Astyanax mexicanus: one gene and its partner. The protein of the gene in region 1 purifies or fractionates together with the protein of each later gene. This does not show direct contact. Links are inferred from orthologs where the notes say so. Each region holds a gene or a part of one and is shown in the gene's direction. Other genes may lie near its edges.

Region 1 (7,848 bases):
CATTCTCTGTTTGCTGGAACACATCCTGCTTTGGTTATTTGTATCAAACCAGTTCATGTAGAATGCAGTTTCCTATTTTCTGATATCTAAAACAATAGTTTATAGGCTTCTTATCTGCTAAATCAATGTTTACACTTATGTATTACAGTTGGTTAAATATAAATCATTCCTTATATGACATTTGTTTAAAATGAGCAGAGAGGGCCTAAACATCCTAGAAATGCACAGTGAGTTTTACATTATTCATGGGCTCATTGTCACTTATCCACATATTATACTACTGCCAAACAAAATAAGGAAAAAACATATGTGTATTTTAACAGGGCCGATCAGCCATAACCACTGACAGGTGCAGTTAAATTATACATTCTTCATCTACAGTGGCATCTGTCAAGAGATTGAAGTTTTAGGCAGTACAGTCAGTTTTTGAAGTTGTCTTGAAAGCAGGAAAAATGGGCAAGCATAAAAATCTAAGAATCTTATTGAGTCTAATTTGACAAGAGATAATTAATTGTGATGGCTAAACAGCTAGGTCAGAATATCTGAAAAAAAAAACAACAAGCAGACCTTGTGGGCCTTTTCTGGCAGGTAATGGTCAGTAGCTACAAAACATGGTCCAAGAAAGGAAACCACTAAACCACAATTACAGGAAAGATCTGCTGCAATAATGTCTTGGTGACAGATACAAAAAACAACAAAATAAACCTTCAAACAACTTGACTGTGAGACCATGACACAAATGTCTAAATTTAATGTGGTGACACATGAGGGACCTACTAACATTAGCAAGGTGGTAACAATGTAATGGCCGAATATTTTGCATATCTTAACTTATACTGTAGGGTAATTTACCACAGTATGACTTAGATAAAACTCGGATGTGAGAAATCTCAGAACATGAAATGATGACCAATGAGTCAGAGCTTAGAATTTAAAATATATTAAAGTTTACTTGAAAAATAGTTTCAGCATTACAGATATATAAAAGGAACAAAAATTAAAAGATATATATTAGAAAAGAGTAAAAGTACATCAACGAATAAAATCTCGATAGATCAACACATTCGCAACCCAGAGAGAGAAAGAGAGAGAGAGAAAGAAAGTGAGAGAGAGAGAAAGAAAGAGAGAGAGAGAGAGAAAGAAAGAGAAAGAAACTAAAGCCAGTCGAGGGCCAGAGAGAACTCCTCAGACTTCATCCAAGCAGTTATACATTTTGCAAATGACATGTGATTGGACAGAACTTATCACTATGATTGTGTCAGCAGAGTCCAGTTAACAGCATGTTGTCCAGTTTTAATGACGTGATCCGCTCCAGCCTGTCTGAGCAACAGGTTCTTATCATGATGTTGTTCAGCACTGTGTCCTTCATGAACACAGCAGACAGTCCTTAAGTGTCCTAAAGTCTGTGAGAAGATGAAACAGAGGAAAAGAGTGGATGGAAAGATCTTCTGCCCTGTGTACGACTTTACGGCGTGTAGAACAGGCAAGCGCTGGCTATCTGAGGAGAGGTCCTCAGCACTTCACTCAGATAGCTTGTTGTCTCCTAGTTCATATGCACTGGTCCCAGAACAGTAGTGAAGCTTCTCTGCCACTCAGGGTCACGTTCTCCTCACAGCTCTCATTGTTGATGAAAACACTCTGACCTTCCTGATTCCTGAAAAAGTAAAAACAACCTCCAAAGCCTTGTCATAGTGACAGTTAAAAAGAGAGCAGAGATCATAAGGTTATTAAGTGAATTATAAAGTGAACAGTAAAAATAATAACTGTATATATACATGTATAAAACATTTAAGAATAAGAGTGTGAAGGTGTGGTTATCTCCAATCACACCCTTCAATACACTACAAAGTTTTCATAGGATACCTTAGTCATTTTCTGTATCTGAAAAATCCTACAAAACAGAAAAGCCTACATTAGATAAAGAGCTGCAATAAATGACTATTTTGGTGGTCGACAAATCTGATGATTATGTTTTTCATTAGTGGATTAGACAACAATAATTTCTGCCATTCTGTTAATCCCTGAATGTAGGATTTAAAAGTCTGTTAAATATCCAGAAAATGATTAAAAGTGAAGTGCTGAAATTTTGTGAGTAAATATGTAATCTCTTGTGTTTGGACATTTAGAGACACAAACCAAATGGAGTGTAAACTGTGTAAATGAGCCCATTACCCCTCTCCCACAGCGTTTCTGACCCAAGCACTTAGTCAACACTAAAATTTCATTATATTTTTATAATCAGCACAAACCGTTGTTCAGATTGATTAAAATATTCAATTACAGTATTAATTTATTTTGCTTTTATTATACATTTATTAAAATGAGAGAAAGAGTTATGTTCTTCAGTTGTCCTCTAGAACCCTGGATAGTTTAACTGTTAATGAGTGCGGCATGGTTCATCCACGGTTTATTTTAAAGTTGAATATCAGTGTGAGGCAACATGAGACACTGTGTCCGAAACAGAAGCATGTGGTGTGTAGACAACTGCATAGTGAAGAAAAAACATTTTGTCCAATTGTCTCGTTTTTCATGTCTGCTTAAAAAAATAGATTGAATTATACCATTAGATTTTTACAAGATGCAAAAATGGAAACATCTGAATATTCCCTGACATTCTTATTATGCAAAAATAGAAAAATGTAAAAATGGATGAAAGTCCATTTCTTCACCTTACCAAATGGGAAAAAATAAATAATAAAGTTCACACTGAAGTTTACACTATTTTTAAACCTGACTTTAAATTTAGCCGATAAACAGTACTTTGCGTAAAACTACTGAAAGAAAAGAAAAAAAAGTGAAATTCTGACCTTTTGGCAAATAATACATTACTAACCCAACAGACTAAGTAGTTAATAATGCTCTTGTGCACTTATGGTTGTCAAACATGCCCCCATAGCACTGATGACGTGAGAGGATGTGGGTGTTTATTTTAAGACAGGTGCTGATGCACTTCAGTCAATTTGTGGCTTGTCTGGTGCATCATATATATATATATATATATATATATATATATATATATATATATAGATAGATAGATAGATAGATAGATAGATAGATAGATAGATAGATAGAAGTAGATGATAGAGAGAAGTAGATGATAGGTGGTAGCTCCAATGTGCAAGTACACCAAAGTATTGTGAAAGATGTGCTTAAAAATATACAAATATGAAGGAAAGAGTCTTATTATTATTATTTAGAGCTAATTATTGAGCGTTTTAAATGGTGTGATGATTTGCCTTTTACAGCACAGAACTTTTTCAGACAGGAAATTATTTTTACTTCTGAAGGAAGATAGAGTACAGAAATACCCGCCATTCAGAAGCGTAAATTCAGTGGCTTCTGGTAAGACCTGAGATCTACTGTACTTGACGCTTGTGTGAACACTGCATGTACTGATGCGTGTCTACTGATTGTGCAGTCACTTTCCACTACAGCTGAGCATATAAACATAAATTTACCTGAACACACTTCAATTTAAAGATCTATTTGCAAGCACGGGCACAATTTAAACCACACAGGTGGAAGGTGTAAAAATTGACTGTTGGCATAGTGCAAGATAGCAATGAGCATTGTGATGCAACTAGCACAGAGTGTAAGATAAGACCCATACTTTTATAAAAGTTTTATTCATTATTTTATTGTGAATTTCTTTTGTTTTGGGGTTGTATTTGGGTTATTTATTGAATTTAGTTCTCAGTTTGGATGCTTCTTGCAGATCAAACAAAAGCATGATATTATTTCTATAAAATTAAGTGGGTTTGTTAAAGTGGACCCCATGGATTTGTTCAAGCATTTTTAAATCAAGATAATGAATTCCATTAATAAAAAGTGTGGGTGGATGAGAGGGGGAACCAACATAAGAAATTTGCTGGGTATAGAGCCCTTAAGGTGACATTATGTAAAAAAAATGCATGGGGATGACTTATTAAGGCATGGATACAAGATATAATAATTAAGTCATAGGGTGACTTATTAAAACGTGGAAATGAGAAAATTAAGTTGTGGGGCAACTTATTAGTACTACAGAGCCCCTAAGGTGACATCATGCTAAAAAAAAAAAAATTTTAGCAGCCACGACTTATTAAGGCATGGGAACGAGATCCTAATGCGTGGGAACAAGATAATTAAGGCGTGGGAATGAGGTCATTAAGGTGTGGCCACGACTTATTAAGGCGTAGGAACAAGTTAATTAAATCTAGCTGGAGAGTAATAAAGCTTACTTTTCTGTAAATAAATGCCTATGGAAATAAAGGCCTTAGGATCTTGTTCCCACGCCTTATTAAAGTGTGGCCACGCATTATTTTTATTTTTTACATGATGTCACCTTAGGGGCTCAGAGATAATTAAGTTGTGGGGGCGACTTATTAAAACGTGGGAACATATAAGCTGCCCCAACACCTTAATTATCTCATTCCCATGCATTAGGATCTTGTTCCCACGCCTAAGGATCTTGTTCCCACGCCTTAATAAAGTATGGCCATGCATTATTTTTTTTAAATGATGTCACCTTAGTGGCTCCATATATTACAGACAGAAAAGAGCATTGTTATATGTTTCCATTATTGAAACATAATAATTTAAGCCTGAAAGGGTTAGGTTGTGGCTGCATATTTTTTTGTGATGTCACCCTAGGGGCTCAAAGATAATTAAGTTGTGGGGGCTGCTTATTAAAGCGTGGGAACATATAAGCCGTCCCACTATTAATTATCTCGTTCCCACGCGTTAATAAGTCGTGGCCAGGCTTTTTTTTTTTTTTTTTTTTTACTTGATGTCACTTTAGGGGCTGTGTTGAGGCACTGTGTATACTAAGCTGAAATCCAGCGGCTCTGGCCGCTGCTGGCCTCTGCTGGTGGGATCGCTGAGCTGAACTGAAGGGAGAGGCTCTGCTTCTTCTCCTCAGAAAACAAACATGGCGTCCACCAGCAGTCGTGAATGGAGGGCGGTGTGCGAGAAATTCGGGCGGGCGAACCACCTTTCCGAGGTGGAGTCCAGAAAAGATCCGGAGAACGACCCGTTCCGCTCCAAATACGAAGCCCGGGAGCTGTTAAAAGACATTTACTGCGCGCTGAAGAGCGTGGAGGCGGAGGAGAGCGACGGCGAGGCGGACGGGCAGGGCGAGCAGAGCGGCTCCGAGGAGGCGGAGTGTGGAGCCGGGAGATCCGTGCCGGGAGACTCGCGGGCCGGCCTCAGAGCCGCCAAGCTCGCGGTCATCGAGTACTACCTGGGCGTGAACCACACCGAGACCGAGGAGCTCTCAGCCGGTGAGGAGCATCTGATGAACTGCATGAAGCTGCTGGAGAAATGCACAGTGACCCCGGAGAACGTCTCTCTGTTCATCCAGGCCAGGGTAAAAACACAGTGTACACAAATTCATCACTCATACATCCCGAATATATCACAGAAATATCACTAAGGTGTTATTATCATGATGCACATGATTTGTAGTTACATTTCTGAGCATATTCTGTATAATGTCAGTCTAAGAAAAATATGCTACACATTTTATTACAAATAATGTAACTGGATGGAGTACAGCAGCACATTCTGAACACAAATCACTGAACTAAATGTGTACTAAATGAGATTATTTTACCAACAGTTGTTGTTCAGACTATCACTACTGATGCATGTTTTCTATCTATGTGTGATGTAAAAATATTGCAATTAAGACCATGTATTATAAAGATTTTTTGATGCAATATTTTGACAATATTCCTCAGCCATTTTTAATATCTTAAATAAATGAAAAAAAAATCCCACTTTTTTGTGACTCTGCTCTAAAACTAGGTGATACTGTAAAACTATTGTATCACAGTGTTTAAAGACATTTTCACAGTGCACAATATTTATTGCAATCAGGGATGCATCAATACTTTTTTTTCCCAACTGCGTAAGAGTACGAGTTCATGTATTTGTGTATTCGCCCATACCAGGAGCATTATTTAACTGTGTAGGTTTTAGTGTAAAGTAGTGCAATGCAACAGTTCATTTGTTAATTTTGAGATATATTTTGAGTCACATTATATACATTAGCATTTTTTAAAGAAATGAAGAAAGTATGCTTTTCTATTCTGATACCAGTATCAGTATTGATGCATCCCTAATTGCAATGCAGTAGCAAATTCCTTACAAACTGCTACCCAATTACACTCTCTTATATAGTTGGGTCAGTGTTCTTTAAAGGTCACCTTCCGCGAAAATCCGATTTTTCTTGTTTTTTGTGGAATACAGTAGGTCTCTCCGAGTTGAATGTGTACACCTGCACATTAAACTGTTTTGCAGCCCCCATTGTCTGCAGGAGCTAAGCAAAGAAGTCCCCCCTCCCCCCCTCCGAAAAACGGGTGAATTTTGAATTATCTTTCTGCCTACGTAGGCAGAAACTCACAGACCAGCCCACCTTGGCTCGAGAAACTCCCAGAGGCGGAGCTGAAGCGACGCAACATCACCGCTCATCAGTTAGGAGGTGGGAGGCAGTGAGCGGCAGAGCGGTGGAGGGGCGTCGCAGTGCTCCTAGCCAATCAGAGGAGAGATATTTGCATGCTGTTTGCATGTATGAATATTCATGAGCAAAGCTGGAATCCGGTCATTTTGGACACACCCCTAAAACAGTCCTTTAAAAAAGAGCTATACAGAGACACCTGAGCACTTTTTTTTTACAAAAACGGCTCACATGTCATTCATTCATACTAGAGACCACAACTAGACATTTTAAAATGAAAGAAAAAACGACGGAAGGTGACCTTTAAGCATTGATGATATTTCTGATATGATTTTTCACAGTATGATAAAATACCATAGTATGGCCCATATCAGCTCTCCTCTCTAAGTAAATGTATATTTCAAAGCAAATATATTGTTTAAAAAGTTAATACCTAGAATTATTGTGACAGGCCTATGTGTAACCTGACTCTTTGTCTTTCCTCAACAGAACCAGCTTGGGATCTTGTGGGCTGGAAGAGATGAAACTGAGAAAGCTCAAGGATTCTTGGAAACAGCAGAATCCATTTATGTAAACTACATGAAAGAGGTGATGCAGATCTTTATTTTATTAATCACCCACAATAAAACGTGGAAGATGTCTTCACTTATTCGCATACACAATGTTTACACCCAGTTTGTGTAGTGTAAGGGGATAGCAATATTAACTAACAGATTGAGATGTTCTGAGCAGGCTAACATAGTCATACCATGACACTGCGGGAATATCCAGCTCAGGACTAGCTACTTTTGGAAGCTCAAGGTAGTTGAAAAGCTGTTCGTCCAGATGAAACATACACTTTGCTGGAAATCTAGCTGGTTAACCAGCTCTTAACCAGCATATAGTATGCTGCATTTGATTTTCATTATATTTGGTTATAGGGGTGGGCGATATGGCCCTAAAATAATATCACAATAGTTATATTATTCGATAGTCACGATATGGCATTTTCATGAAACGATACTCTTGGAGATATGACAAAAAGCTGAATAAAAAAACAAATACACTAATGCAACAAAATAAAAAAATAATTTTATTATTGCGTACAGTGTGATATGGCACACCCTTAACTGAGATATTAAAAAATACAAGAATTGTATCAGATTTGTAACAGAAGTCAATGATCCAGAATATTATGATACTACATAAATCCAGGACTAAATGAAAAATTAATTATACTAGACAGATATAGTCTGTTTCTTGTAGATATATAATGGAAAACGCAAGAAGCGTGATTTTTTTATTTTGCTACAAACAGCAAAAAAAGTTGTACCCTGATGTGATCAATAGGAGTGATATGGCACAATATTTCAGGGCATAATATTGTTTGCAATATTCAAAAATGTTGGTGATATTATTGCGTACGATAC
Region 2 (7,257 bases), on another chromosome or scaffold:
AGTTTTGCTGCAACCTATGCATACAATCTTATGAAGTCTCAAATGTTGTTCATCGTAGGTAGACACCATGTTGAAGATGGGATTCCAGCAACAGGTACTTGAGATCTTGGAGCAAGTCCCTGATGATCATCAGACTTTGTTAACTTCAGCCACAATCCCTGTCGGGACAGACCAGCTAGCATCTCGTCTGACACAGGACCCAGTGCGCATCTCTATTGGTCAGAAGAACCAACCATGTGCTAATGTTCGCCAAATCGTTGTCTGGGTAGAAGAGCCATCAAAGAAAAAGAAACTTTTTGAGATTCTAAATGTAAGTAATGGAAAATCATTATATTCCACAAACACCTACTGCTGGTGTGCATCCATGTAGAATGATTTTTTTTTGTTTGTTTTTACATAAGCCCTTATGCTGTATATTATTACTTCTAAAATGTGATACATGAATTCCATTTAGTAAAACTGGGATTGAGTGTATTTAGACAGGTGCAAAAAATCTACCGTTATTTTAGAGAAAATGGGAGGGGTCACCTTTTATGGCACTGATCCAGGAAAAAGAGTAACTGCTCATACATTCCACACGAAACAGGGAGAAAAGAATGTCTCAACACTCATTTTATGCATCATCTCTTACCACCACACCCAAAATTTGCACATGGTATATTAATTTTAGACTGGCCAGTTTATCAATTGACTCTTGTCTTGGACTAAGCTGGTTTAAAATTTAATGTGAGCTTTAGTTTAATACAGGTCTGAGAATCAATCCAGCCCAATCAAAGATTAATAATCAACAATTCAATTAGTTGACATTATGAGTGTAAAAAAAAATAAATAATAAGAATGTGCCCCTATACAGGTATACTGTCTGTTTATTGGTTTCTGAACCTTTATTATAGAATTTGAACAATAAACAATGGTTACTATTCTGCACCAAATTAGCAGTACATTAGATTTTAACCTTTTTTACATTTAGTTCATTGTACAGTAGTGAACACACGTAAAACACTAGTAGTGAAACAATAAGAACATGTGGAGCTAACAAGAAAAATGCACTGCTCTTTTACTACCATTTTCTGTGGGGAATGATTTATTAATTCAGGGAATTAAACCAGAAACCTTCTGGTCCCAGGAACACTTATCTATAAGTATCCCAATCTGGGGTTTCTGGGCCCCATCACACAGTTAGCAAGTGCCTTGTTTATTAGGTCACTGCAACACAAAAGTCCACATGCAGAGTATTCTTGAGTATGTTAATAATTGATTTTCTTTTTTTACAGGACCAAAAACTCTACCAGCCACCAGTCGTAGTGTTTGTGGATTGCAAACTCGGAGCAGACCTTTTATGTGAAGCAGTGCAGAAGGTTATGGGCTTAAACGCAGTCGCTATTCACTCTGACAAGAAACAGTGGGAGCGCAATAGAATTCTAAAGGTAAGATTTTTTTGATTGTCACCAGAAATATTAATCGTTAAGAACCTCTGAATATCAATAGAAAATTTAAAGTTGAGTTAGTTAAATGAATGCCCATTCTTGAGCAGCTCATTCTTGTTTTTTTTTGTGATGAGTTTTTTATCTTTTAAAGGGTCTGTCACACACATGTCCCCATTAACTCTTTTGGTTTAAATGTTACCCAAAAACGTTGCTTGGATTATATATGTAATAAATACCTTCATTTTCAATGTAATTATTATAAAACTTTTGTATTTCTCAGGGTCTGCTTGAGGGTCAGTTTGAAGTTGTGGTCAGTACAGGTGTGCTGGGCAGAGGTCTGGACCTGGTCAATGTCAAGCTGGTGGTGAATTTTGACATGCCAGCTAACATGGATGAGTATGTTCATCAGGTACGATGTCCTAGATTCTAAAAACTGGTGATGACAGCTGGCATTGGAATGTGGTAGAGAGTGTACAGTTGTGCCTGTCACGATAATTACTATATCGAATTATCGTACAATATATGGTTATTGCCTCTATTGAATATTGGGTTTTTTGATACAAGGTATTCTTTGACTGTTTATAACGTTTTTTTTTTATGCTTTATTAATGTAGGATAATTTTGTTTGTTTTTATATTTCTTATCTTATGTCTAAATATTCTTAATAATTAAAAATGTATTTGCATTTTAATGATATTGTCCTTATATCAGTTATATCTTTAAAGTAACTATATTTTTTATGCAATTATTTCCTGAGCAATATTTTATTTAAACAGTCATTCAAATATCATTCACATCGTGACAACCCTAATTCAGTGTAAATTTGTTTGTTGAACATGTTTATTAAAGATTGTGGTCTGATTACTGTTTTAGTAACATGTTTGTTTGTTTTTTTTAATACCTGTGCTTACAGATTGGCAGAGCAGGAAGACTGGGGCACAGAGGAACAGCCATTACTTTCATGAACAACAACAATAAACGCTTGTTTCTGGACATAGTGAACCGAGTAAAACCCACAGGCTCACAGCTTCCCCCACAACTCCTCAACTCCCCACATCTACACGAGCAGCAGAGGAGGGCCAGACAAAGGAGTAATCATGGACAAGATGATGTTGTGACCAAAAATAACCTTCTTGACATTATTAGAAGGCATGACAGAAGCTGTGCTAAGAAGTGACATGGACTCTAAAGACACATTTGATACAGTTATCATTAAAACCATCTGCCTAAAATTGTATAGGTCAACATGGTACCACCAAAGCAGCTCTGACCTGATGAGGCATGGCTTTCACAAGACAACTGAAGACTACGGATTCTTTTTTATATATCTTGCGTAAGTCATTAGGTGAGACTTCCGTGAAGTGAACCATCAGTGAGCCTTGGGTTCACCCATTTTTCATCCCTGGATGTAAATACTTTTGTAGGTAGTGACCAAACTTGTTGATCAGAATGATTATGAAATGCCTGTAAATGTACTCAGTGTTATGACTGATCAGGGTAGGTTAACTGTTTTTTTATTGTTTTATCTTTATTTTCAATTAATAAATAGATGTTACAACTGAGCTTTCTGACTGTCCATTGTATTGGTGATCTGTAGCAGTAGCTTTAGACTGCTAATTGTTGACCAAGAGAAGAAGCATATGTTGGTACAAAGTATTGACTTAAACACACTCCAGCACCTTACAGCTGAACTCTTTCACCGGGAAGCTTTATGAATATGAGCCCTGGACACATTCAATTTATATATGTGTAAGAAGAACTGAGTTTGGGCTCTATCTTTTAAAACACCCTTATGCTATCTATTGTATCATATTGTCATGTACCAGAAACATTATTTGGTTTAAAATTTCTCAAATAGTTAAACATGTTTACATGACCATATAGTGTTCAAATCATTAAAAAAAATCCCTGTGAAATATCACTTATTATAAAAGGCCACAACACCTTACTTTTCTTGTATTTTTGACATTAAGCAGCAACATATAGTTACACATAAACGCCCAGTTTCCCAAAATCTCTGTAGAGACAGAGAGAATGTTTGTTTAATCAGTTGAGTGTTTAATGTGGTCTAAGTGGTTTTGTGTGAAACCCAAAATTCATTATACTTAACTTCAGTCGCTGTAAACAAATTGGTTATATATGGGTTTTTTTTTCTTTACTTTTTTATTGTTAATGTTGCCAATAAGATAAAAACTTTTGTTTTTAAGGAAGGCATACAGATACTACACAAAATAAAGTGTTTTCTTAATCATTCTGTACATTCTGTCTTTAAAGTACAAATAATAAATCGTAAGATAGAAAAATATATACATTTATTAAGGAATAACTATAAAACATGTTAAAACAAAACTTAAAAAAAAATCTATGCAGATATTAAGCATTATATAGCTCCCATTACCCGTTTTCAAATATCTAGCTACTGAAGGCAATACACAGAAATATTAATACAGCTATAATGTCCAAAGAAATGATTAAAAATACATAACAAATTAATGGGGCATGCAGCTGCAGTTAATTAAACACATTTAATATTTTTTTAAAAACTGATAAATAATATTTTTTTTTATATAAAGATCATCCCTAAAAGTCGCATTAAAGAAAAGCAGCGACATGGCGCCACCTGTCGATTAAACCCTGTCTCTGCAAGACCTGGGTGTGTGGGGATGTCTATGGGGAGGACCGTGTGTGTGACGCCATCGCGCTCAGCGGTCCAGTAAGATCAGACCGGTGTTTTTTGAATTGAAGCGGCAGGAAGGCGGAGAGTAGGCAGCGCTTACTTAGCGAGGAAAAGGTAAACAAAGAGTCACAGTAGTGAGAGAAATATTATTTATTCATACAGCAGGGGATATTTAGCTGTTTACTGTTCTGAGAACAGACTGCAAGGTTGTTAATAACAGAGTTCGCTAGTTAACGATTAGCCAGTTAGTTAATTAACGCTACTTAGCTAAAGTTAGCAAGCTAACGCTGGTTGAGTTCAACGTAGAAAACAACACCTCTGCTAGTAGTTAGCTAGCTAACGTAACGTTATGTAGCATGTATTAGCTAAGTTAGCTATGTTATGCTAACATATTAGCGTTAGGTCGTTTATGGGAGTTTAGCGTTAGGTTAACTCTTCACTTCAGCTTTTAAGTTAGAAAAGAAAATGGACGCGTTAAAAGGCGAAGAAACGTCATGTTCTCTTGACAAAAGTAACGTTAAAGAGATAAACAAAACCTATATTATATCCGCGCTAAACAAATCTACACCGAGGTCAAACGCGTCCAGCACCAGTTTCTCTGGAGCTCGGCTCACTCTCCAGAGGAGGAAAACAAACAGCAAAGGACCCGAGCTCTCCTCAGCCCTTCAAGACACCGAAAACCAGAGCGAACCGCACGGGAAACGGCTGACTCTACAGCGCAGGACCAGAGCAGGCTCTGTGGATAAGGGCACTCCGTCTGCAGACGAGAAAAAAAGAGCCTGGGTCAGCTCAGCAGTGCTGTCAGAGCCCAACAGTGCCCGCACCCCGGGCAGGTTAGCACTGCTGCGCTCTGCTTCTCTCAGAGACACGGAGTCTAAAAGAGCTCATAAAGACCTGCTACAACCCCCAAACACTCCCTGCACAACTGCAGCTACTGAGAAATCATCCACGCGTCCTGCTCAGACTGCTAAAGTAAATGCAGCTCACGACCAAGCCAAGGCAAGCTCAACTCCAACAGGAAAAACACAGTTCGAGAAGCTGAGTCTGAAGAAAGAGGTGTTTGAAAGACTGGCAACCAGAGATGTTCCAAAACCAGTGTCACTGAAGCAGCATCCTTGTGTGGACAGGTCAAAGCACTCAAGCACTGACTCTGGCAAACCCCAGGCTTCTTCTTCTAAGAAAGTACCTCTTATTAATAATCAATGCAAGAACCTTATGATGGCCGTCACTCCTCGATCAACGCAGGTGAGAAAAACCACAGCCCAGACAAGCTCCACAACACCCAGTGGAACCATGAGCTCAACCAAAGCCAGGCCTCCGTCCACAAGTGAAACACTTCTTTCCACTGAAGGGAAGCTTGTGAGTCAAGCTGCAACACATCCAGAACTGAAGATGGAGGACAGTGCAGTTACTGTTGCAGTGCGAGTCAGGCCTTTCAGTTCCAGGTAATAGAATTTACAGTATGTTGAATCATATTCATTGTATTTATTCAATTTTCATTCCCTTTTATGGGTGTCTTAATTCAAAAGGCTTAGATATAAGGACTGGACATTATGGCCGAATGTTATATAGCATGGTATATTTCTTATTTTCAGTCAAACTCTCAAGAATGCCCACAGCTAGACCTGTCATAATAACTATATATATTTTTCTATGATTAATTGTGGAAATAAATAAATAAATCATATTATTGCCATTTTATGCCACTGATATATCAGTAAAATATAATAACATAAAATGGCATTACACTTGCCTGTCACAATAAAATAATTTTGTGCACGATATATCAGCCATTACATGACTGGCTAATTTTTTTTTACAGTTATATGTGAACAAACATACAAATAAACACAATATACAAATATTATTGAGGTCATCTCATGTTTGAGACTTGTATTTTTCTTTGATAATTCGTATTAAATGTCATTCTTTATATTTAGTATCCTTGAGATCAGAATATCTAGACTAGCTAAAATACAGATGACATTCATTATTAAAACCATGTATGCAAGTAAACACAGTGGACAAAATTAAGATCATCAAAAATGAGTGTGGTCACATCCATTTTATCGTGTTATAATTTAATAATGCAATTATTGTGACAGGCTTACCCAAAATTAATGTCTGTACCTACAAATTTGAAATATCGTTAATGTATTTACAAGCATATTACTTTTATTGAAACATTTTCTATCACAATATACAGTATATAGATTTTATTTTTATACATTCATATTTAGATGTTATTAATAGCACCTTTTCAGCTGGATAAACTCATCTTCTCCTTTTTCGTTTCTTTCATTCCACCAGGGAAAAGGGTGAGAACAGCTGCCAAGTAATTTTCATGGATAATCAGGAGACGGTGGTTCAGCATCCAGATACTAAGCAGACCTACACGTTCGCATTTGACTTCTCTTTTTGCTCACTTGATGAAATGGACCCACGTTTTGCAAGTCAGCAAACTGTTTATGAGAATTTGGCAAAACCTCTTCTTGAAAGAGCTTTTGAAGGCTTTAACACTTGCCTGTTTGCTTATGGGCAGACTGGTTCTGGAAAATCATACACGTAAGTACTGTAGTTTACGGTTTTTAGAAATGTACAACATTGTTGACAATGATGGAAGCAGTTTTTTTAATTGTTCTGACATTTCTTCCAGTATGATGGGTTTTGGGGAAGAGGCTGGAATCATACCGAGGTTCTGTGAGGAACTTTTCTTAAGGTTGTCAAGAGCCGACAGTAAGGAGGTGAGCTGTCCAAAGTACAATGTCCCAGTCCTAGGTTGAAGGCAGTATCTCATCTAAAACTGTACATTAACTATTTATGACATCATTGTGTTTAGACCTGTGTGTATATTTTTTACAGGACACTTGTCATCTAGAGATGAGCTACTTTGAGGTGTACAATGAGAAGATTCATGATTTGCTTGTAGCCAAGGATGAACAAAACCAAAAGAAGATGCCTGTGAGTAGAACAAGAATATAATGTTGAATTTCTGTGGCTTAGTGTCATCCATCATAGCCAGCAGAACATGCCTTTTTTCGTCTCAAATGCCAATTTGACATTTTTGAAGTGGATACACCTGTGTATGTGGTGATTTTTTAAATAGAAATTTCCATTTATCCAGTAAAAAAAAAAGACGTATCCACACACAGA

The links. The genes of interacting proteins can lie anywhere in the genome.
Region 2: the proteins of kifbp (region 1) and kif14 purify together in Homo sapiens (affinity purification with mass spectrometry; 3 studies listed by BioGRID and IntAct, counting the BioPlex papers as one, with this or other methods). This does not show direct contact. The link is inferred for Astyanax mexicanus from reciprocal best matches to the Homo sapiens genes KIFBP and KIF14.

Annotation. Positions count from the first base shown.
Region 1 is NC_064414.1:42,927,191-42,935,038, reverse strand, and holds the start of kifbp (KIF-binding protein), read left to right. Parts: upstream 1-4,835; 5' UTR 4,836-4,909; coding exon 4,910-5,347; intron 5,348-6,928; coding exon 6,929-7,027; intron 7,028-7,848. UniProt on the Homo sapiens protein: Activator of KIF1B plus-end-directed microtubule motor activity. Required for organization of axonal microtubules, and axonal outgrowth and maintenance during peripheral and central nervous system development.
Region 2 is NC_064423.1:20,759,796-20,767,052, forward strand, and holds the start of kif14 (kinesin-like protein KIF14), read left to right. Parts: upstream 1-4,146; 5' UTR 4,147-4,569; coding exon 4,570-5,549; intron 5,550-6,414; coding exon 6,415-6,669; intron 6,670-6,760; coding exon 6,761-6,848; intron 6,849-6,966; coding exon 6,967-7,065; intron 7,066-7,257. Other genes in the region: probable ATP-dependent RNA helicase DDX59, read left to right, coding at 59-310, 1,275-1,427, 1,708-1,836, 2,341-2,604. UniProt on the Homo sapiens protein: Microtubule motor protein that binds to microtubules with high affinity through each tubulin heterodimer and has an ATPase activity. Plays a role in many processes like cell division, cytokinesis and also in cell proliferation and apoptosis.